Linked DNA regions of Notamacropus eugenii. The protein of the gene in region 2 purifies or fractionates together with the protein of the main gene of each other region. This does not show direct contact. Links are inferred from orthologs where the notes say so. Each region holds a gene or a part of one and is shown on either strand. Other genes may lie near its edges.

Region 1 (8,276 bases), on a different chromosome or scaffold from region 2:
AGCTTTAGCCATAGATGGGACAGGTGTGTCCAAGCTCATTACTCTTAGATTTAAAGGTACATTCATTCACATTTACAGACTAAAGTTTGCTTGAGCAAAGTACTGATGATTTCTGGGGAAAATAATGTAACTTGTATAGGTTAGGGTGTCACTGAGGTTGTGATGTACTGTACAAAAGTTATGAGAGTGTGTGTTCAATTATCTAGTGGAGCAAGAAAGCAGATGGATTGGCATTTTTTCTATTGACATTGCTTCCTATATAAAATTTCGGTAGCTTAGTTAGGTTCAGTATTTAAGAATAAATGCTAATCTCTAAATGATAATGATCCTTTATATGTGAATAACACTTTACTGTTTTTAGAGGGCTTTCCAGTGTGTCCTTTAATTAGAACAAAGCAAGGTAGGTATTTCCATTAGTATTTCATTTTACTGAGAAAGTAAGGTGACTTGGCCACAGTCACACAGAAGTAACAAATGCATAAAAAACCAAACCAAACCAAATCAACACACAAACAAAAAAAAGCAAAACTCATGTTCCTAGAGTCCTGACAAGAGAATTGGGAACCCAATGCAAATAAAAACAAAAATGTATTAGAAACTGATTATGTTGCTGGTGTACTGAGGTGTACTGAAGTTATATGGACAAGATTGTGTTTTCTTATACATCTCCTATACCTTCTCCCCGCACCCCCAACATGAATTAGGGGACAGTTTGAGGACACGATTCAAGCTCAGTCAGTCTTTCCCTCTGCTATTTAACATTTCCACTCATTTTTGTGATCTGCACAGTCCTTTAAAGACCTAGGAAAAGCTAGGGAGAGAGGATCTGATGTTAAGTTGTAACAAGAAAGTCTTCTCGAGGTCTGGTTTGCTCAGTTTAAGTTCATATGCAGCCTACCTTCTGTAAACCCCTCTCAGTGTCCTAAATAATGACAATTAGAACTGCAGGCTCCTAGGCACAATCTGGGGGAGAAGGTAACAAAGTACATAGTTGAACAAGGGTAGATCTTGAGAAAAGTAGCAAGGGAGAGCTGCCGCACTCTGTGGTTTTCCTTTGTCACATTTCAATTCCTTTCAAGAAGACGGTGTTCTTTCTACCTTGTCCCAGCCCCTATCCATTTAGCCCCCCCACTTAAATTTCATTTGCCCTTATATTAATAACTCCACCCCTTCTCTTCTCTATCCTCCCAAAACCCTATACACAAACTCTTCCAGTAACCCCCAAAAGTGTTCCCAAGGTAGAATAAAGAGGCATCTTTTAAAAGATCATTGCAAGTCCTGTTATCTCTCAGATATTGGAGGTGAAGAATGGGGGAGGGGAGAGAGGCAGGGACTGATTGTTTCAAAGTATGTATTTATTTTTTAGTCAATAAAAGTCCCCCCACCCCACCCCACTAAAGTCAGGCAATGAATATTTTATTTTAGCCTTGTAATTTCCATCGAGACAGATCTTTTAACTCTTTCGCCTCCAGCTGAGCTCAAGTCCCCAGCGCCAGGCAATCCTCCCCACTAGGACCAGGGAACTGTATTAAGCTCACTTTCAGGAGCTGTTTGTTGACCACATTCACGTTCTGAGCCCTGAAGCTAAAAGCACTTTACACCATAAAATAAAAGCACTGTCTTTTTTTCTAAAAGGTTACGTCTGGAGGCCACGATGCTCATACTTCATACAGAAAACTACTGAAAGGACTATGAAATCCTCTATGATTTACGCTCTCCCACTGCATTAGGGTATAGATCTACTCAGCTCTAAAAATACGATGGAGTTTCTAACCGACGTGAATATATGTGCATTATTTCAGAAAGTCTGTTAGAAAACTTGTCAACACATTATAAAGCATAAACCAGAACTTGGCTATTAAATACGGAGATCAGAGGCAGAATATATACTGCAGGAAGTCCTGGGAAAAGTCTCCCCCATTGGGGGGGGGGGGGGGAGGGAAGGAGCTATTAGCAAAGAGTTTATACACAGTATACACCAAAGGTTTAGAAAGAGCCCACGGACCATAATTACAACATAAATGGAATCAGCAAAGGCTTTACAACCCTAAACGTAGTTAACTGGACTGCCAGAAAATAATTTTAATATTGTCATAATTTATTACTCTCCAAAAGCCACTTCAAGAACGGTAAATATACTCATTGTATATCCAAGTGTGCTCGTTAAGCTTCTCTTTCAACCCCCCCTCCACAAAACACCTGCATCATTCATCTAGGCTTACATTAAAAAAAAACAAACTCTTAAAAGACCTTTTTAAAAAAGCCCCCCCCCCAAATTCCCCCCCCCAGCCCCACCCTTGGAAGGTTAAGTGAACTTCAGGTGAAGTGGGGGAGGAGGCAGCGGGGATGGTAAAGAAGAAGGCAGTACTCGTGGAGTATGGATCAGATGCCAATACAGTCATGTTAATAATCCAGACGGCATGAAATATGGCTTTAAGGGGAGGGAGGGGAGAGTTTCCATTTAATTCCGGGCATTTTATGATGGTAAAATTAAATATATGTTAATGGTGGAAACGTTACTGGTTCCCTCTCCACTGACACACACGAAAAGCAGCTGCAAAAAATTGGCTTTTTAATGTATGTTTTAAGATGTGGTTTAGGAAGTAACCCCCTGGAATCTCAAACAAGTGCAGTAATAAAGCAGACCTACTTGTAACTAAGTGCTTAATTTCCTATGATTTTTTTTAAAGAAAATCAATAAAATGTTGCCAGTTATTTATTGGAAATAACCACAGATAGATGCCCTGATATGTGCTGGCTTTAGAGAGCGCACAATTGTGTAATGAATTGTAATTCAGAAGACTGTTAAATGTGAACCACAGAACCTTTCAGAGGTAATAAAGTCATTACTTTTTACACTACATCCAGCCCTGAAAAGCTTTATATACGCCATTATAGATAAATCATATATATATATATTTTCACGACACACAGACATCTACTTATCTGCCTCCTGTATATATGGACTTTTATGGATAGATGGTACAATAATCAAATATGAAAATCCTGGGTTCTAAAAGAATGAGACAGTTTGCTTTTGTTACCTAAAATGCCTTTTATTGTGTTTAGTGCATTTTTTGAAAAGGAACACTCCGTTGCACTCCACTCCCCCAACCTTCTTTTCCCCCAATGCATTCCCCCTTTTCCGCCACCCCTCACTCAAGCAATGACATTCATTTGGTAGCTCAAAGGCTGTTTTTATAAAGAACAAGACAAAAATAGATAGTAGTGTAAGATAGATGCTGACCTGCTCTGAAGAGCCCATGAAAAAGAGGAAAATCATGTCAGGTACGTGCTACAGAGCTTTACTGCAAATGATTCCTTCCTGATTCTTAACAGGATTTGAGGGTTTTTTCTCTCTCAGAGAACAGGAAAATACACACGCACACACACATACACACACGTGCACGCACAACAAACCGCACACAGACAATCCCCCCACTCCTTCCTTTCCACAACTCTCCTATTCCTGAACATCAAAAACCTTTTCTTCTCTCAGAGGCTGCACGAAGCCTCCTTGGAATGAGAAGCCAGTCATTTTGAATCGGTTTAAAACTTTAGGAAGATGACAACCCGTTTAAACAGCAGCATGCAAGCCTACAAGACTGAAAGGTACAGATGCGCGCGCGTGCGTGCACAGTGTGTGTGTCTGTGTCTGTGTCTGTGTGTGCGTGTGTGTGCGCGCGCGCGCGGGCGAGCAGCTCAGCCAGGGGGTGGTTGAAGCTGGAGAAGCACCAGATTTAGGTAAGGTTTCCAAAAAAAGTCCACCAAGCATTTCACTTTACAGGGCCCATCTGCCCCCGCCCCCCCGGATTGGGAATATAATGGCTAGAAGAAAATAGGGGCTGTGCTGTGAGCCTTGAGGGAAGGAGAGGAAACAGCTCCTCATTCATTCAGGGGGCACACCTCCCTCCCCTTCCAGCTTTCCCTTCAGTCGGCTCCCCCCTTCTCCTAAACTCCTCACTCAAGTCTGGTCCTAGGTCTCACCGTGGCTTCACTCCATTCCTTCCTCTTCTGTTCCCCCTCCCACTTCCCATTTTTTGGGGGGTGGGGGGAGGAACAGAAGAAAGTCTGGCGGCTGGGTGCCACAGCTAGGGAGAGCAGAGGTGAGACGACTTTGCAGGCACGTTTCAGAATAAACTTTCCAATCGTAGGGGGTGCTGTTGCTGTACATTTTACGTAAAACTGAAAGTATCCCACGCCAGAGAGAAGCACGCTTTTTGACAGCGGTGGCGGCGGCAGCAGCAGCCTATGAGTGTGTGTGTGTGTGTGTGTGTGTGTGTGTTTGTGTGTGCGTATGTGTGTGCGAGCTCGCGGTCACGAGCATTAAAGAGACAGGGGTTCATTTCCAACAAGTCTCTCCTAATTTCTAAGTTTCATCAAGGGAAAAAAAAATTAAAAAGGAGAAAGGAAAGCTATCTGAGCCGTGTGCTTTCGGGGTGCGGTGGGGGGAGGGAGGAATGCATGCTTGTGGGAAGGGGGCTAAGTTCCAGCAAGGTTGGCAACCACTTTTCTTTTCTTCCCTGCTGCTTTTGTGAGCAAACTGTGAGATTCCTATTACCCGTTTTCTTCCCCTTTCTCTTTTCCTCTCCCTGGGTAATGTCATTAATACAGCTTTGCGTGTTAAAATATTTCTTAGAGTCACGGTGTAGCTTCTCTTTTCTCCAGCTACATTCATTCATTCATTGATTCATTCATTCTCCGAGTGTTTCTCCCTCCTTCCTTCCTCTCCCCCACTCCCAGTTTTTGAGTGAGGAAGACGTCCTTTTCTTCTCTCCCAGTCCATCCCAACAACAGATCGGTTTCCCCTCTGCTTCTAGTTTGTCTCGATGGGTTATCCTTCATTTAAAAAAAAATAAAGGCAATCTTTTTGGGGGAGTAGTTGGCACCCACACGCACACACATACAAAGCCCCCCCCCCTTCCCCCGCTTCTTTCCTCCTTCCCCCCACCCCCCACCCCCCCAGCTGGTACCTTACAACCTTGCAACTCGCGGGCTGCTCTCTTGGCCATGGGTGCTCAGTATTAAAGGGTAAGTTTCGGCGCGGCCGAAGCTAGTGCCGTTACCGCTGCATCTCCCGCCTCCAAGCTGCTTATCGCTCCTTCCTGAACGATTTTGCTCTCCTGGACTCTTCCCCACTCTTGTCAGTAACGGCGCTGAGTCTCAGAGTTGTGTTCCTGTCTTTATTTATTTATTTACCCTTCTCTCTCTCTTCCTTTCCGGGCCGCAGCACCTCGCTTTCCTCAGATCCGTGCTTTGCAGTTTCATTGACATTGTCCCTTCTCTTGGCACTCAGGCTTCCTTAGCCACCTATTCTGCCTGCCTTTGGGGTGCAGGGGGATGGGGGTAAGTAGGGAGATGCCGAGTTGGAGCTTGGGCTCCCCCTTTCCCCCCATCTCCCTCTCTGGTCGCTCCCCCAAACCTCTAGGATCTCCTAGTCCTTCCTCTCTCCTTTACACGCAGAATTTCTCCTTTCCTCTCTCCCCAACCTGGGAGCCCGAGGCTCCTGAGAGCCTCTGCCTTTCTGGCTGCTACGGTACACAAACTTCTTTTGCAATTAATTCTTTACCACTCTCCGCAACACCCCCTCCCCAACCTCGGGGCTTTTCTCCTTGGGTAGTAACTTCAGAGTTCAGTTATAAACTTCTGGTTTTTCTTTTCGTGCTGTTTTTTTTTGGGGGGGGGAGAAAAAAGTTTCAGAAGTGCAGATTGATATCGGCTTTCACTTCTGCTCCAGGATGCATGCACGCGGGGCTGTGTGTGAGGCTAGCTGGGGAGGGGGGACGTGGGTGTGTGTAAGGAGGGGGGGTGTCCTACAGCAACTCTACCTGGTCGGCGGCCCCCCCGCCCCCGCCTTCTTTTGCTCCTCTGTCGTTTGTCTTCATCCCTTTCTACGTACACCTTTGGCGTATTATTTAAGCACTTCTGTCTCCTGTTTTAACCTTTCTTTTTAGAGGGTGGAGGAGAGAGGGGAGGACTTTCCCCTCCCCCCCAAACACACACCTCTCCCTTCCCCCTCCCCCTTTCTTTTCTTTCCTCCTGGCCATGCCGTCTCCTCCTGTACTCGGCTGCGGCCACTTGTGAGCTCCATGCCCCCGCGCCTCCCCTGCCCCCCTCTCAGCACTACCTCCTCCCTTCCCACCCCCCCATTAGGCAGCTTGTGTCTGGCGTCTGGAGAGCCCCCCCCTCCACCTCCCCCTCCCAGCACTGTCCATTGGCTTGTCCTGGTCTCTTTTTCATGTCCAGCCCCTGATGTGTGTCCATTGGTGTTAGCCTCCCCTTCCCTCCTCCCCTTCTCTCCTGCTCGCCCTGCCCATGTTTTGTATGTCTCTGTCCATCCAGGCTCCTGACGTTCAAGTTCGCAGGGACGTCACGTCCGCACTTGAACTTGCAGCTCAGGGGGGCTTTTGCCATTTTTTTCATCTCTCTCTCTCTCTCCCTCTCTCTCTCCCTCTCTCTCTCCCTCTATCTCTCCTCTCTCTCTCTCTCTTTTTTTTTTGCCCAAAAAAAAAGCCATGACGGCTCTCCCACAATTCATCTTCCCTGCGCCATCTTTGTATTATTTCTAATTTATTTTGGATGTCAAAAGGCACTGATGAAGATATTTTCTCTGGAGTCTCCTTCTTTCTAACCCGGCTCTCCCGATGTGAACCGAGCTGTAGTTCACCAGCCGCCGCCGCCGCCGCCTCCTACTCCACAACCCACCATGTCTCGCCGCAAGCAAGGCAAGCCCCAGCACTTAAGCAAACGGGAATTCTCGCGTAAGTAACCCAATAATAATAAATAATAATAATGATGATGATGATGATAATGAGGATGATGATGATAGGGTCGGGAGTGCCAAAGAGAAGATGGGAAAGAAAGGGTGCGTGTGCATGCGTTTCATTTTATTTTTGAGAAGGGGAGAAAAGACAACATTTAAGTGAGGTGTAAAGAAATTAAAAGGGGGAAACCCACAGCACCTCAAACCGCAACCGTGCTTGCACTTTTGGAGAAGCGTGCACCTCTCTTTTCGTTATTTTCCTTCCCTCCTCTCTCTTTTCGCCTTCTTTTTCTTTATTCCTCTTTGCGAAAAGAAACACTAGGATTTCTCCTCCCTCCCCCCTTTTGCAAAATAATTAATGATAATAATGAGAGTAACTCCCAGACAACCCCGGGGAACAGGAGAAGGGGAGAGGGATTTCTTTCTCCAACCGCCGGAAAGAAAAAAAAAGTCAAAGGCTTAAAAAAAATCCTGGGAAGAAAGAGGTGAGACTGGACATCGGACGCCGGCTCCCATGGTCAAGTGTGGACCAGAGAGAAAGTAATCACAATAATGCTAATGAATGGAAAAGTGGGACTTTTAGGGAGGGGGGACGTCCCCCCTCCCCTCCTCCCCAGAAGCCTTGTTGAGAAAAAGAAAGAGGTGGAGGAGAGAGGGGGTGAGAGGGAGACGAAGGGTTTGCGTTTGCAACGTGCGGGTAAAAGTGGCCGGTCGTTGCCTCCTTTTGTTTCCGCTCCGAGGTGGGTGTCTGTCCCGCTGTCTTTTGTGCCTCGCTCCCTCCCTCCTTCTATTCCTCCCTCCTCCTCCTCCTCCTCCTCCTCGTCCTCCTCGTCGTCGCCGTCCTCCTCCTCCTCAGCCGCCGCCGCTGCCGCTAAAGGGCAGCAGGGGCAAGGGGGTGGGGGTGGGCTGGGGGAAGGGAGGGTGGGGGAGATGTGGCTGCTGCCTGGACTCGGTTGGCTTGGGTTGCTGCCGCTGCCGCTGCCTCTGCCGCCTCTGCAGCCGCAGCTCGTGCTGGCTTAGCTCTTTGCTGGCTTTCTTTCTCCAGGGCCAAGGAACGTGCCCCTTCCCCTTCCCCGCCCCCTCCGCTCCTCGCCCCGCAAAAGACACAAAACGAGCTTGGCAAAATGCAAGACGATTTTTATTTTTCCTGTCCCCAAACAGAGAAGCTAAAAACCTCAGTAGATCTACTCTGAACCGAGATTTTCCAGCGTTGCCGTCCGCTCTCCCTCTCCCCCCTCCAAAAAAGAGGAGAAAATTCGCACGCACTGAGCACAAGGGGAAAAAAAATCAAACTAAAAACCGGATCAGACCACAACCCCCCAAACCCCTTCTCTTACAAACTTAGTCTGTAGGCTGCACAGAGAGGGAGCGAGGAATTCCCTCCTCTTACTATTTTTTGGAAGATTTTCAAAAAAAGTGGAAGTGGATTTTGATTGGGAAAAATCTCGTGTCTGAATGTTTACAAGCACCGCGTGTGCGGGAGCCTCCTGCCAACAAACAGATACAGGACCCA
Region 2 (7,516 bases):
TGACCTTGATCCCACCAATCTTGGCCCTCTCTCCTCTACACAGAGACGTTTGGGATCGTAGCTCAGACCCGAGCCCACGAGGGCTCCATCTTCGCTTTGTGTCTGTTGAGGGACGGGACTGTGCTGAGCGGGGGTGGGCGGGATCGACGGCTGGTTCAGTGGGGGCCTGGGCTCACTGCCCTCCAGGAGGCTGAGGTAAGACTGGGACTGGAGATGGGGGAAGGGAAGGAGAGAAACTGAGGTAGATGGGGCTGGGGAGCAGGAGGAAGGTTGTAGGGACTTCTTTCCTCCTGAGATATGGACATCCCCCACCTCCAGATCCCAGAACAGTTCGGAGCTGTCCGTGCCATTGCCGAAGGGCTGGGCTCAGAGCTGCTGGTAGGGACCACAAAGAATGCGCTGCTGAGGGGAGACCTGACTCAGGGCTTTTCCCCTGTTATCCAGGTTAGTGTTTGTGTGGGGCCAGAGGAGTGTGGGGCAGGGCAGTGAGGAGATCCTATAATGTCATCCAGCCCTTGTATCCCATAGGGCCACACTGATGAACTCTGGGGTCTCTGTACTCACCCCTCCCTGAACCGCTTCCTTACCTGTGGCCATGACCGGCAGCTCTGTCTGTGGGATGGGGAGTGTCACGCTCTGGCCTGGAGCCTTGATCTTAAGGTACTGTTGCCATGAACTTTATCTCCTGAGACCCCCTTCCCTGACCTCCCCCATAATCTTTAGGGAATCCAGTCATCTCTCCCAGGGCTAGCCCTTCCTTCCCTTTGAGAAGCATTGAGGGGAGATGGGCTTTGAGTTCATCAACAGGCGGGGTGATCTGGTGGGTTCCCCCCATGAGAAAAGTATCTCCTTGAATCCCAACCCCAGCCTTCCATCTCTGACCACCCTCCCCCTCCAGGAGACGGGTCTCTGTGCTGACTTCCACCCCAGTGGGAAAGTTGTGGCTGTGGGACTCAACACTGGGAGGTGAGAAGGGGAAGGGGGAGGAGGGATGGAAGAGGAGATGTTGGGGGTGGTGATGGGCCGTTAGCCACTGGCCTCATGGCCTTCTCTGACCCCAGGTGGCTGGTTCTGGACACAGAGACTCGAGAGATTGTGTCTGATTTCACTGATGGTAATGAGCAGCTCTCAGTTGTCAGGTATAGTCCAGGTGAGAGCCTCTCCCACCCCCTGCCCCCATCCAGAGGCTTCTCTCTCTGACCTGCCTTCTTCCCACCCCAACCCCCATCCTAGTTCCTTTCCTCTGACATTACCTTCCAATTATTCTATACCTCTTTTTGACATACATGATTGCTGGCCCCTTGTCTCCTCTATTCAAAGGTAAGCTCAAAAGCAGGTACTGTTTGGTTTTGGTTTTGTAGTTTTGCTTTTCATTACATCTCCTGCTTCTAGCACACTGCTTGGCCCATAGGTAAGCCCTTAAGAAATGCTTGTTGACTGACTGACTGACTGACTGACTCCTTCAGATGGGATTTACTTGGCCATTGGTTCCCACGACAACATGATCTATATCTATAGTGTGTCCAGTGATGGGTCCAAGTGCAGCCGGTTTGGCCGATGCACGGTGAGTGTGCCCTATGAGCAGAGTGGGATGTGGTGGGGTGCTGGTGGTGGTAGGGGCAGGCCAGCTCTTCACAGTTCTCCTAGAGAATGGCCTGGGACTGGAGTGGGAACTGAAGGCTCCATTTTGGACAGCCCTCTACCCTTCCTTCCCCCAGGGGCACTCCAGCTTCATCACCCACCTAGACTGGTCCAAGGATGGCAATTTCATCATGTCCAATTCTGGGGACTACGAGATCCTCTACTGTGAGGAGGGGTTCACAGGGGTGGGTCACTGGGGTCAAGTTTTCTCCCCCACTATGACTCAGAGCTAGGGTGGTGGTGATGGGGGACTGTGGAATTTGGGGGCAGAATCCTGGGTTTGAGTCCCAGCTCTGTTACTTACTCTCTGGGAACTCTGAGGATGTCACTTCCTTTCTTCAGCTTTCCATTTGCTCATCTATAAAGTGAGATTTGGGTCTGTCCCAGTTCTGACGTTCTAGGTTCTAAGTTCCCTCTAGGCTCCAATACTCTAGCTTTTAAGGTCCCTCTGAGTGCTTTAGTTATGTGCTCTTAGGTCCCTTCCTGTTTGACATTTGATATTTCTGTTTTCTAAAGCTCTTTCTGGCTCTAAATCCTATCATCTCATCAACCTAATCCATGGAAAATGTGCTAAGCAAAGGCATTTATAGAAAAATTTTCCAGGGGCATTGGGTGAGAGGGGTGACTTCCAGAACATGGATTTGCCAGGATCTGGAGCCCAAACCCCTCTGGACTGGCCTTATTTTCTTCAGTTAGCTGGGTTGATGGAAAGGGACTGACCTAAGTGGAGCTTCCCTCCTTCCCTTCCTCTCAGGGGACGTGGCAGGGGGTTGTAAGCTGCTGAGAAATCGGTATGAGAGCCGGGATCGCGAGTGGGCAACCTATACGTGTGTCTTGGGTTTCCATGTGTATGGTGAGCACCAAGCCTGGTGAAGGCAGCTGGGAATATTGTGAGGAGGGCAGTGTTACAACACTGAGAACCACTGCCCTTGGGTGGAGGGAAAGGTCAGAAGCATCGGGGCCGACAATGCCGCATTGTGGGTCCCGGAATGTCCGAGAACAATACCTGTGGGTGGCTGGGAATGTGGGAGCTTGGAAGGAGGAGGAAGCAGGAATGAGGAGGGCTTGACTTGGTAGGCGTGTGGCCGGACGGATCTGACGGGACTGACATCAACTCGTTGTGCCGGTCCCACAATGAGCGAGTGGTCGCAGTAGCGGATGACTTCTGCAAAGTGCATCTGTTTCTGTACCCGTGCGCCCGGGCCAAGGTGAGGGGTCTCTTCCACCTCACCCACTCAGAGGCCAGGGGAGGGGCTGGCGGGGAAGAAGGGTGCGAGAGCTGCTGAAGAGTGGGTGGGGGTGAGGAAGAGGGGTGTGAGTCGAAGCCAGAAGAGGCAGGGGACTCCAAGAGACACATCATTCCGGAGTAAAGAGACTAGGATTTAATTGCTGGCCCTGTGACCTTGGGCAAGTCGCTTCCTTTGAGACTCAGTTGCCTCATTTGTTAAATGGTGATATCTAAGTTCTAAGTCCTGCATAACTGGGCTAGATTCCACCTATTTCTTCCCATTCTGTCCCCACCCTCACCGCTAGGCCCCCAGCCGAAAGTACGGAGGTCATGGCAGCCACGTCACCAGTGTCCGGTTCACTCATGACGATTCTCACCTCATCTCACTGGGAGGAAAGGATGCGAGCATTTTCCAGTGGCGCATGCTGAGTGGTGGGGGCCCTGGACCAGCCCCCTTGACACCCTCCCGCACCCCTTCCCTCTCCCCCGCCTCCTCGCTGGATGCCTGACCCCACTAGGACTAGATGGAGTGGGTGGGGTTAGAGGGTGCTTTTCCCCCTACCTCCCATCGCCCCCATCCCCCTCCCAAGGACCAGGAGCCCCCTCTTCCAACTTCGTTGCATTCCGTGCCTTCTCCCGGTCGGGGAGGGGCGTTGGGACCCCCCAACACTGTACAGAACCGCAGGCTGAGCCGAGCAGCCCCCGCCCTCCTCCTCAACCCTGCACCCGAGCAGGGTCAATAAAACAGATGCCAAGTCCCTCTGCAGCGTCCCGTGTGTCCTTCTGCAGGGGAAAGGCGGGGAGGGGTGGTGGTGGCATGGGGTAGGGTTAGAGAGATCCCTGGTTTGGAAGTTAGAGAGCAGGGCTGGAGGACTTCCTCGGGGCTGCCTTAGTCTCCTACTCGGTACCAGCAGGGTGGTTGGACGCGGTGCTCCCTCCCTAAGGGCGATCCCCGCTCTCAGGGTCCAGGATTGACCAGAGTGGGGCAGTGGAGTGTGCTTGAGCTGGGGCTGGACCAAACCAGGAAAAGAAAAGACCAACGGGGCCCATGCAAATGAAAAGCAAAGGGTATGCAAAGGTCCGACTCTCCCTGCTGCGGCCGCGAGTCGGGCTGCAAGGCTGAGGCGAGGAAAGGGTTAAAGTCTAGGCCCCGCCCCTCCTTCCCGGCCCCACCCCTCCCGGCCGAGGAGGCGGAAATGCCCGAGCGCCAGAGGCCGTGGGCCGGAAAGAGCCGAAGCGCCTCCGGAAGTGGCCGAAGCGCGGGCGCCCGTCCTTCGGGCGCAGCCGGAAGGGTTCCGGAAGGGCTCGGCGCTGAGGCAGGGCTCTGTTTGGACGAACCGAACCGCGGACCCGGGACGCTGGGCCGGGGGGGGGGGGGGCCGGAAGCAGCCGAGCGGGCCCGGCGCCGGCCTCGGCGCGTCCTGGGCGGGAGGCGGCGGCGGCGGCGCGGGATGAGCCGGGGCTGAGGCGGCGGCGGCGGGGCCGGGACCGGGGCAGGGGCCGAGCAGGGCCGAGCAGCGCCGGGGTCTCCCTGCGGCCGAGCCGGGCGCCCGCGGGCCCCGTCGGGCGGCCATGGCGGCCAACATGTACCGGGTGGGGGGTGAGTACCGCGCGCCCCGGCTCCGCTGGAACCGGCACGAGCTTACCGGGACCGGCGGGGGGGAGGGCCGGGCGACTGGGGGGGGGGGGGGGCGGCACGAGAGGGGCGCATGCGCGCACGGGGAGCCTTGCCGGGGGTCCCGGTAAGAGAGGACGCATGCGCTGCCATCCCCCTACCCATGGGGGGTCCCAGGCGGGGGGGGGGGTGCGCAACGAGACTTAAGTGGGTGAACTTGACCGCCGAGGCCACAGCAGGGGGGCGGAGTGAGGCCCGGGGCGCTCTGGGCTGCTGGTCACCTAGTCCGGCTCAGTGCTCTGAGTGCCAGGGCAGATCTCAGACGCCCCACCTCTGGCACCATAGGGCCCTGGCTGGCTCCGGGATCCCCTATAGCGACAGCGCTGCCCGCGGGGCAGAACTCCTGCCCAGATCCGCCTCGGGCGATTGGGAGGCTCCTTGGCCCTCCGTCTGATGGGCGGGACCTGAGTTCGGATGTAAAGAGCTTCGGGTGTCCCAGGGCAGGAAAGCCCCCCCGACCCTTTCCACCTGAGCAGCCCCAGTCACTTTCCCTCCTCTGTGCTGGAGGTTCGATTTGAACCCGGGCTTTACCGGCTCGAACCCCTATCCTGAGTCCTCCTCCGGATCCAAAGGGACAGCGCCTGCCCTGCCTTAGAGCTAGCTAAGCCTGGCCCAGAATCCGTGGGCAGGGGTGGCTGGAGGCCACAGGCTGCCCATGTCCTGGTCAGCACTCCCGGGCTAAAGTGCTCGCTGGCTTCTGATGTTTGCCATTGGATAGCCAACGTCCAGAACCTAGTAAATGTGATGATGGGAGACCCCCAGAGGGTCTCCACCCTCCCTCTTTCTTTTTTCCTGTTGCATCCCTCCTCCCTCACTCAGGGCTTTGAGAGGCTTCCCCCTCTTGACCTCCTGGCTCTTCCCCACTGCAGATTACGTCTATTTTGAGAACTCCTCCAGCAATCCTTACCTGGTGAGAAGGATTGAGGAGCTCAATAAGGTGAGCTTGTGTGTGTGTGGGGGGAGGTCAGAAGGGGCTTGAATCCTCACCAGGAAGCACATCTGAGAATGTGAGCTGAAGGTTAATCTAGGCACACATGGCGCTTCTGTTCTTTGTGTGGGTGGTTGTCAACTCCACTTCCTCAGCATGGCCTCCATGGGGCAGTGGGCAGAAGTTAGGGAAAGGTAGGTTTCCACTCAATGTGAGGACAGACTTCCTAAGCAGAAGCTCCAGTTCTCAGATATCCAAGAATGAATGGGTAGCCTCAGGATTAACCAGTTTCTCCTTACTGGAGTCTACTGGTAAAGACTGGTCAATCACTTTTAGACAGTATTGGTGGTCTTCTGGGTGGTTAGAATGGAGTGCCTTGGGTCCTTTCTAGATGTGTGCTTCTCAAAGTGTCCTTGCTTGGGTTTATTTTGGCCCAGGCCTAGTTCGGAGCTCCTTAGGTGGGAGGGGACTTGGGAGGCTCTGAGACTGAGCTGCACTCTGTTGGGCACATAATTTCTTGAGGTCTTTTGTCGTTTTATCTGTGAGTGCTTAATATATATTCCCTGTTACTGGCCCCTTTTCCTTAGACATACCTACTTTCTCTAACATCCGGTTTTACCACTTTGCTCTTTCTTCCTAGACTGCAAATGGGAACGTGGAGGCCAAAGTTGTCTGCCTTTTCCGAAGACGGGACATCTCTAGCAGCCTCAATAGCCTGGCTGACAGCAATGCCAGTGAGTCTTTCTTCCCCCTCCTTCATGTCCTCAGGTCTGGGCAGGTCTCTGCAGGTGTTTCCTCTGGTTTCCTGACCAAGGCTGGGGGGGGGGGGATGAATTTTGGGATGGGGGAAGCAGGTCTACATGGAGGGGTTAGGGCTTGTTTTCACATGTCAGAAAAGTAGAATGGAGGAGGAACGTGATGAGGAGAGCCAGTGTTTTCAGGAGGAGAGGACAGTGGGAAATGGGAGGTTTTATGGAGGGTAGAAACAATGAATCTAATCATAGAGAAATCAGGACTTGTGGGTAAGTTTTGAATGAACTAGAGTTATAATGAGAAGGATTGTGTTAGGGTAAGTGAAGAGGAAGGAAGTCCCAAACACACCATGTGTCCTGCCTTAGGATAGGGGCTGTGGTTTGTTTAAATACTGAAGGAGTTGGTCTTCACAGGGTGGAGGCTTTGGGAAGAGGAAGAAACTCCTGAATTTCATTTCTTTTGCTTTTGTCTTCATCTTCCTTCTCTTTGTTTTCTTCTCTTCCTCCCTCTTTCCCTTTCCTAACTTCTCTCCCTCACTTCCTTTTTCCTCTTTCTCCCTTTCTTTTCCCAGTAATAATTCATCTCTATCATTCTTCCCCCCCTTTCCTTTTTGATTTCTTTCCATTGATATGTCTGTTTTCAACTTTTTAGACCAAGGTTCCAGCACTAAAGGGTTAATGGGGAACAAGGCTCTCCAAGTTTCACAGCCCCTTGGGGTTTACTGCCCCATCTGGCAGGGACTGACCTTGGCTTTGTCCAATCAGAAGGGGTTTGGGGGGTGTGGTCCCCTTGCCTTAGCCCTGGGTTTCCGCAGCACAGGCAAGGGGAGGAGTCAGCTGCCAACTCCTTCCCCACCCCCCCTTCTCCCTGGTAGTTGAAACAATGGCCTATGGGTCTGGGCTTCTTGCTATGTTGTTATCCTGCCCCTTTCTCCTTTGCTTGGCACCCATCCCTGTTAACACTTTACAGCTGGGCTTAGCCAGCTTGAGGCCTTTGGTAGGGGAGGGATAGTGTTAATGTTGGGGTGGGAGTTTTCTCTGAAAGATAAACACTAGGATTCAGATAAAGAACAAGTGACATTAGGTTCTGCAGGTCCTACTTTGTCAGGGGGTTGAGGGAGTGGGGGTAGGGGGGGAGGCCTGTGATGTTTGAGGACCTGCTTGGGGAGGCACAGCCTGGTATAACCTCACTGGGCTTTTAATCCTGTTGGCAGCCTGGCTAGGGTTGAGATCCCAGCATGAACTCTTGGGGCTTGGGATGAATTTCTGAGGTTTGGGGGGGGAGGGAGAGA
Region 3 (7,878 bases), on a different chromosome or scaffold from region 2:
CATGTGAGACCTTTAACCCTAGCAGAATGGCTATTGCCCAGTTCAAGTCAGATGAAATTGGAAGAATAAATGCCCTGAGGCTGCTCCCCCTCCCTACCCCCAACTCTGCAGAAGAAAACCTGGAATCCTGTGGATGAAAGGGAATCAAACGGTACGAGTGACCATGTATATTTATGCCTGTGAGAGTACGAGTGCTTCTGTGTGTGTATGTGTGTCTCCATCCCTCCACTCCCTTGTTTTTCCTCAGTGACTTGTAGTTCGAATATTCCACATTTTTGTTTCTCTGGTCTTTGTTGAAAACTCAAGGGGAGGGGGAAACAGTTCTCTCCTTCCCGTCTAATGCTTTTTGTGTTATGACAAGGAAGTCATTCCCATTGGGGGTGGGAGGGGGCAGGGATCTTGCTGGCTACCTATAGTCCACTAATCGGGCAAAAGGGTCCTTCCTAATAGGACTCTTGAGAGGAGACTTTTTGCCAAAGACAACTGCAATGAAGATAAAAAGAAGAGAGAGGAACAAACCCTGTATTATGTCTGCCTTCTTGGGAAATCCCTCATGCCTCTCCCTTCCCTCAGCCTCTGACCTTGGGCTGATTAAATGGTTCAGTTTGACTTCTCTCAGAGTTTCCACTTTGAGCCCTGTCTTCTGCTTGGGTACTGCTTCTAAAGGCGAAATAAGACTTTTATCCTTCAGGCTTTGAGGGGTAGGCCCCTCTACACACACATTCTTTCCTTGCTGGGGGAGGTGGGGGGGGTGGGGCTGTCTGAGCTGGAGAGGCCACTCCAACCCCAGCCTGCCTTTTTTCTCAGCCTCCCTAGGCTACCTGTTGACTTGTTGACTCTGCTGCCCTAGAAACCCTCCTCCTCTCTTGCTTCTGCCAGGTCCCTCCCCATACTCCAAAGACAGGATCTTGGTGCTTCTAAGAACAGAAGGTCAGTGACAGACCCCCCCACAGGCTTGTCCTTCACTCTGGATAGCCATCCCCCAAAGAAAACTGACTGTAATGATTTTATTGATCCCTACCACTTACTGCTATCCAGGGACTTTTCCATATGGCTTTGTCAGTAGGACAGGAGAGCTGAATGGACACTCGAGAAAGTCAGGAACACCATGTTCTCAGGAGGCTGGTTTGATACATATTGGGCCACTCCCTGAAGAGACAGATTTCCTCCCCACCTCCCCCCATTAGCAGGGCATTCCTCTAGGACAAAGCCTTTTGCCCTCTTCAGCCTCAATAGAGGATTCTGAGGAAACTGAAGCACAGGGCAGGACCACATCTTGCCAAGGACAGCTGAGAAGAACGCAGGTATCCAGGTCCCTAGCATCCTTTCCAGCCACCAATAAAGACCAGAATTTTGGGGGAAAAGAAGAGCAGTGGTTTTCTACCCATCTACCACCACCACCACTACTACCACTCCCACATCCCCTCAACCTCACAGGAAGGTAAAGGCTGCCAACTCCAGTCACAGAAAAGCTCCAGATGTATAGCTATAGTGAATGGTCTCTCCAGAACCTCTCCCCAGTCAAGCCTCCTTCTTGGGTCCTAGGAAAACTTCCTTGGTTCCTTCCATTTACACTGGGCATAGTGTGAGGCAGCTCCTAAGGGTGAACCATGGATTTCCTCTGAAAGAGTTCAGGACAGATGGGACAGGGGTTGGGATGAAGGTGGTGTGAGAAATGAGCCCATCTTACAAGCCCCGAACTGTGAGAAACATGCTTTCCTTAAAAAAGGAACAATGCCTGTTGTGAAGCCAGGAAAGCCTTTATTAATCTTTACTTCCATCCATTCCCCCTGAATGGACAGGTAGCCTCCCCAGTAAGGTTACAGGATGACTATAACACGTTCAGGAAAATGGAACTTCTTATACTGTTTTCCGAACTTTGGATCTCCCTCGACACTGTCCCCTGGTCATGTGACTTTATGTTCTCTGTGATGGGCTTTCCTTCAAACAGCTCATCAAGCCTGTGAGGTTTCTGACCTTTACCTGACCATCCTAGGTCATGACTGTGGAAACAGAACTTCCTTGTTTCCCACAGTGGTAAGAAGAATAATTAATTCTTCAGGTCATAAAGCCTTAGTTCTCTATTAACACTCAGCAACATACAACCAAAGACACAAGGAATGCTCTTAGGAATATGTGGAAAGAGACAAACCCAAAGACAAACCCACATACTTATTTCCAAGTATACCTATATATAGGCACAGAAAAAAAGGAGACACAGTGTACTGCATGCACAAGGTACATTTAGAAAAAGAAAACCAATACATGTAGACACAAAAAGAGCTGAATTTCAGAAAGACCCTCACAGTTCTCTCTTGACCCAGCTGCACACTCTTTCTAGACTAAACCTTCCCAGGGCCTCCCACCCCCTTAAGGTCAGGAAGAAGGGGAGCTCGGAGACAACTTTGTTTAGAAACTTGAGCTGTTGGCCAGAGGCACTGGGTAGCAGCTCCTCCAGTGGACACAATCCCACATGGCATTTGGGTGGGGCTACAAGTGTGGGGGGGAGTTTTGAAGAGATGCTTGGTTATGGAACTTGGAAACTCACATTTTAAAAGGAGCCATTGAGTTCTGTAGTTCCCCTCTTTTTTTGTGCCTCAATTTCCCCCTCTGTAGAATGGCAGCAACATTGCCCCCAGCTCCCAGTGATGGAAAGGACTTTTGGGTCAGTTTTCTTTAACCCAGAATGGCCCCACAGAGATGGAATGTCCAATTTTCTGGAGGAAGGAGTGGTTCCCATAAGCCCAACCCCGAAAAAAGTGGGGAACTGAGCCTGGATACAAAATGTTCTGGAGAAAGTCTGGTTCCACACCCCATGTCATAGTTTGGGGATAGGTCAGGAAACCTGATCCTATCCCCCACCCCTCCATACACACACCTCTCAAGCCTTTTCTGGGCCCCAGACAAGACTAGAATACCCAGTTCAGCAGGTAAGAGGGGGTATTCCACCTGTTTTTTTCTGCTACATTTCAGTGAGGGCATCAGTTTGTGCAAAATTCATCTCTACAGGTCTTTTGAGTCAGAGATATGGGAACAGGATCGGGCAAATCCCAGGAGCAGACACCCTGCAGGCTGATGTGGTTCTGTTGGGCTGAGAAGGGGTGGTGCTGTCAGTTCTGGGCCCCTGCACTTGTTTACATTTACTCTCCTCTACCTTTGGGAGAGGGAGCTCAGTAAAGCTGTCAGTCCATGTGGGTGACTAAACCTACTGCACTGTTGGTGACTCAGCTCCACTGGTCTCCTGGCTGACTGACCACTATGTCACTGGCAATGTACATTTCCCACTGAGTCTGACCTTGGTTTGGCTGAAACTCAGATTCTTGATCCACTTCTGAACTCTGCCTCTACCCTTGGGAACACAGCAGGCGGTTGTAATTGGGAACAGGAAGCATTGTTCAAACTCTCAGGCTAGTTGAAGCCTTTTCTAGTTCTGCACATCTTTTCCACCCAGGCTAGGCAGGGACCTTTCCAAAGTTTACTCATTAACAGCCTAGAATGCCAGACCATTGGATAATTTCCTTTCCCTTAGTGACCAAGAAGGGATCAATTATGGGATGGGTGGCTTCAGATTCAAGCCCAGAGCTTTTTAAAGAATCTCTGAAAATGGAGAACACTAATATTTTGAGTCTAATAATAACAACCTGGGGACCCAGGTCCATCCTGCGTTTTGGGGGGTGTTTTAGCTTGTCAACAGACTTTCTTATAGGCCAGGTATCTTTCTCAATTACCACTTTCTTCTGAGTCATTTCAAGATTCCTTAGCCACAGGTTTACTAGAATGGGGGCCAGTTAATCAGCGACAATAAGATTTTGGAGTCTGCTGACTCCTAGGGATCCAGCATTATCACATGGATAATAGGAACTAATGAATTGCATTGACTGACTAATACCGACCCAGCCTAACAACACAAGTTGATTGACCTCGTTGCCTCAGTTGTCTCCTTTGTAAAATAAGGGGGTTGGATGAGATGATCTGGAAGGTCTCTTCTAGCTCTGAATCCTACAATCCTACCATGGGGACATTGACTGAATAAGACAGAGTTATTGATACTGAACAGACAGATGCTGACAGATAAGACAGACTGACTGACACAGATCACCACGCAGTATTGGACGCTGACGGGGAGTGACCATCACACAGGTGAGTGTCCGGACAGACGGTCTGACTGAGGGCAGGAGTGAACAAGACTGAATGAATGGCTGCCCATAGGCAGGGGCTGCCCAAACAGGTAGGGGCTGAGCGGCCAGCCCCGCAGCAGCCCGGGCTAGCGAGACAAGGGACGGCCGGGATGGAGGCAGTAGATGACCAGCAGGCAGAGGCTAAGCAGACAGGCTGCGGCGGACGAGTTTCAGCTCCCACCCGGAGGGAGATCTGGGTCCCCAGGACTCATCCTCCTCTGCAGGGCTCAGGATCTAATGGCTGCCTTTCCCCTCTTCTTCATCCTAGGCTCGGAGCTCCCGAGAGGCACGTTGGGCCAGTCCATTTCTTCTCCCCCTCTCTCTTCGCCGCCGATGGTACAGGCCGCTCCTCTCTCCCCTCGGGCACCACGGGATGACGCCCACCGACCTCCTCCTTCCCCCTCCCCCTGCAGCACCGCGTGAGGCGGGGAGCCGAAGGGACTGCCCCGGAGGGGAGGGGAGTCGGAGCGGGGGGCGGGGGCCTCCATTTCCAATTGCCTCCCCCCGCCGGGACTTACATTTGGTACCGTCCTTCCCGGAATGGTCGCTTCGGCTCCCGCACCCCGTCGCCGGCCAGCCACCCCCTTCCCAGTTGGTATATCCCTCTCCTCTCCCCCTTCCCCCTCCCCTCTCGGCGGTTCTGGTTTCCGCGCGAAAAGCCGGCGGTCCGCGCGCTAGCCCCTGCGCGACCGGAGCCGGCTCCCTTCCGTCCCCCGGCCCGCTCCCTGCTCCCCACTCGGACCCGCGAGATGCCCGCCCGCACCGGTCCGGCCCCGGTGGCCGCGCCGGGCTCGCCCGGGCTCCCGCTGCCGGAGGAGGTCCGCAGACGGTAAGTGCCGCTCGCCCCCGGACTGCCGGGGCTCGGGCCGCGCTGGGCCTGGCTGGGCCGGTGTAGCGTCGCGCGGGCCGCCTGACAGGCCGGGCCGGAGGCGGGTCGGGCTCCAAGTCGGGGCGCGGGGCTCGCGCGCCCCGGCGGTTGGCCGTTGGCGGGGCTCGCGGCCGCGGGTCCCCTCCGGGGGCGTCGGTCCGCGAGGGCCCCGTCCGGCGTAGCTGCCGCTGCCGCCCTCCCCGCTCCCCGGGACATTTGGCGCCAAAACGCCGTGTCGGGTCGCGGAGGTGCGTGAGGAGGGAGAGGGGCGGCCCGGACCTGGGGCCGCTCCGACCTGCCCGTGGCCTTGGCCCCCGGGCTGGGCTGTCAGCTGGAGCCCGGTTAGGCTGCGGGCGTTGGGGGGCGCCCGTGAAGGCGGAGGCGCCGGGGTCCGGCGGTGCCAGTGACAGGAAGTGGGGGGCCCGGCCTGGGGGGCCCCCATCGCCTGCTCGTGCCCCGGCGGGGGCCGGGAATGGTCGTCTGGGACGTGGGGCTGCAGCCGGGAGGCCGCATTTGACCCACGCGAGAGCCGGGGCGCAGGCCTCCCCAGCCCCCATGGGGCCTTCCCCCTCCATCCTCTGGGTCGGGGTGGGCTTGCCCCGGCCTCCCTTCCTGAGGCATTCATTCTTGGGGCACGAGGTGGAGACGGGAGAACTGCCCCAGGCATGGGTTTCCCCTACCGCAGGATCAGTACCCGGCTGGTATTTCTCCTCGGTTTGTCCCTGGTGCCTGTGAAGACACGTGAAATGCCCCCTGGAGCCGTCTTTAGTCTCTTTCATGAAATTAATAGCAGAATCACTCATTTAGAAGGATTATTTTATCGTGTTTCCCTGCAGATTGACTGGTAGCGTTTGATTGTGTCTGTTGTGGGTAATTATGATAGCTAATACAAGGTTTCTGGGAAGGACCCTTCTCGCGGATCTAGTCGTTGGTTTGCTTTCTTTCTTTCCAGTGCCATTACAACTAATTAATTAGTTACAATTGTCTTTATTGTGGAAGGATAACCCGTGATTATTTTGTTTGTTACTGTAATTTATGGTTTTATTTTTTTCTTGGAAGGTGATTATGAACATGTGCAGGTAACTAAAGTGATTAGCACAGAGGTCAACTGCCTCGTCTACGTTGGCAGGAATTTTTCTGCGGACCCCGAGTGTCATCTCATTTTTAAAAAGTGTATTCTTATTGGGTGGCTTTGAGATTTTTGCCACCATGTTTAGTGGTTAGAGCCAAGAACTTCAAGTTTATCCTGGCTCTCCAGTGATTCACCAGGTGACCTTCGGCAACAAACTAAATCTCCCCCTCACTTGTCCCCATTTCAGGGAGGAGAAAATACTTACTTACATCGCAAGAGTTGCTATGATTAGTAAGGTCTTGGTATCATACATCTTCAAAGTGTAATATTAGGTATCTGATTACTTGATGTTATTTTAAATATTGTTTTAAGAGGGAGACACAGCTCCTAGCACCAAAAAGAAAAACCTATTTAATTATGCTTTGATGTTATTTTCATCAAGGCACTGAAGAAATGAATGAGTTTTAAATCTTAGTTGATGAGTTTAGAGTGCTGTGTTTGAGAGAGATGGTATAGAAACATTTTACACATTGTGCTTAGAGACCTTAAAGCAAATTCTTTCTGATTTCTTGGTATCCTCCCTAGGTTCTCAACTTAAACAATTCAAAGTGAGAGTTCTTTACAATTTGTCTTAAAACTTGAGGATCACTTTGTATCATAGTATGCAAAGTACAATAATGAGAATAGGTAAGATTTTGCTTAGTTTTGTTAATATTTGGATTAGGGGTTGGAAGACCTGCTCTGGTTCTGTATCTGTTACTTTTCTAGGTAACTTTGGGCAAGTCACTTTGAATCATATATTTAGAATGGATCTTGAAAGTCTTCTAGGCTTACCTCCTGTCTGATTAATGACTTCCCCCTCTCTTTCATCCCCATCTCTGCTAAGTTCAAGTTCTGGGTTGAATACCTCCATTTGATATTTTGATAGGGAATTTACTATCTTCTGACCTTGCTTTGTTAGAAAATTCTTACATATATTCATTCAGTTGTAAGTTGCTCAGTTACTCTTTTCAGATGCCACACTGAATTAGTAGAACATGGTTTAGTGAGAAAAGAGAAAACACTTTTCATTTCAGGATTACTTTTAGAATATCAGAGATGCAGAGTTAGAAGGGACATTCATTGATCATTGGTCTTAACACTACCAAGAGTGAGCTGGTCAGGTTTTCAGTATCCCTGAGAAGTGATTGTCCTGTTTCTGCCTAAGAACTTCGAGTATTGAAATGAGACTGAGGATAGCTCCAGAGTTCGCATTTATTTGGTGCTTTTTAGGTTAGAATGTGCTATCCTCAGAGAAACCCTGTAAAATACATAGGATATATACTAATCTTAGAATGAAAAGGGGCCTCCATAGCCAATGTCAGAATCAGGACTGGGATCATAGGCCTTCTCTGATTCCACTACAATGTCCTTCCCTCTTCCAATTGGTTTTTAAATAGCTTTTCATTTGCATTCTTTTATTATTGTAATTATTTGACTTATCATTATCCATAGTCTCCCCTCCCCTTAGACCTGGGATCTTTATAACTATCCATATAAAACCCAAATGTAGTCCAATATTCTGTGGAGAGTAGGGGATTCAGAAATGACTTTTAGAAGAACAAGGTGGTAATAGTATAAGTATCATTTTAATTTTCAGGCATGTAAATCCAACTGAAAGGGACCTCCAGAGAGTACTAAACTCTGTTGTATATAGTAATAATTATTATACTCATAGTTGTATTTGTAGTTAGCACAGTTCAAAGGAAGTTATTACTGAA

Evidence for each region.
Region 1: the proteins of MTA2 (region 2) and BCL11A purify together in Homo sapiens (affinity purification with mass spectrometry; 4 studies listed by BioGRID and IntAct, with this or other methods). This does not show direct contact. The link is inferred for Notamacropus eugenii from reciprocal best matches to the Homo sapiens genes MTA2 and BCL11A.
Region 3: the proteins of MTA2 (region 2) and DNA (cytosine-5)-methyltransferase 1 purify together in Homo sapiens (affinity purification with western blotting; 3 studies listed by BioGRID and IntAct, with this or other methods). This does not show direct contact. The link is inferred for Notamacropus eugenii from reciprocal best matches to the Homo sapiens genes MTA2 and DNMT1.

The regions. Positions count from the first base shown.
Region 1 is NC_092872.1:644,360,432-644,368,707, forward strand, and holds the start of BCL11A (B-cell lymphoma/leukemia 11A), read left to right. Parts: upstream 1-4,967; 5' UTR 4,968-5,031; intron 5,032-5,058; exon of another isoform or gene 5,059-6,589; 5' UTR 6,590-6,706; coding exon 6,707-6,761; intron 6,762-7,718; exon of another isoform or gene 7,719-8,276. UniProt on the Homo sapiens protein: Transcription factor. Associated with the BAF SWI/SNF chromatin remodeling complex. Binds to the 5'-TGACCA-3' sequence motif in regulatory regions of target genes, including a distal promoter of the HBG1 hemoglobin subunit gamma-1 gene.
Region 2 is NC_092873.1:15,725,365-15,732,880, reverse strand, and holds the start of MTA2 (metastasis-associated protein MTA2), read left to right. Parts: upstream 1-4,333; 5' UTR 4,334-4,441; coding exon 4,442-4,469; intron 4,470-5,413; coding exon 5,414-5,481; intron 5,482-6,112; coding exon 6,113-6,206; intron 6,207-7,516. Other genes in the region: EML3 (echinoderm microtubule-associated protein-like 3), read left to right, coding at 44-195, 319-444, 529-660, 899-966, 1,062-1,150, 1,467-1,564, 1,719-1,806, 2,396-2,494 and 2 more. UniProt on the Homo sapiens protein: May function as a transcriptional coregulator. Acts as a component of the histone deacetylase NuRD complex which participates in the remodeling of chromatin.
Region 3 is NC_092875.1:79,920,396-79,928,273, forward strand, and holds the start of DNA (cytosine-5)-methyltransferase 1, read left to right. Parts: upstream 1-4,569; 5' UTR 4,570-4,927; coding exon 4,928-5,007; intron 5,008-5,210; exon of another isoform or gene 5,211-5,294; intron 5,295-7,878. UniProt on the Homo sapiens protein: Methylates CpG residues. Preferentially methylates hemimethylated DNA. Associates with DNA replication sites in S phase maintaining the methylation pattern in the newly synthesized strand, that is essential for epigenetic inheritance.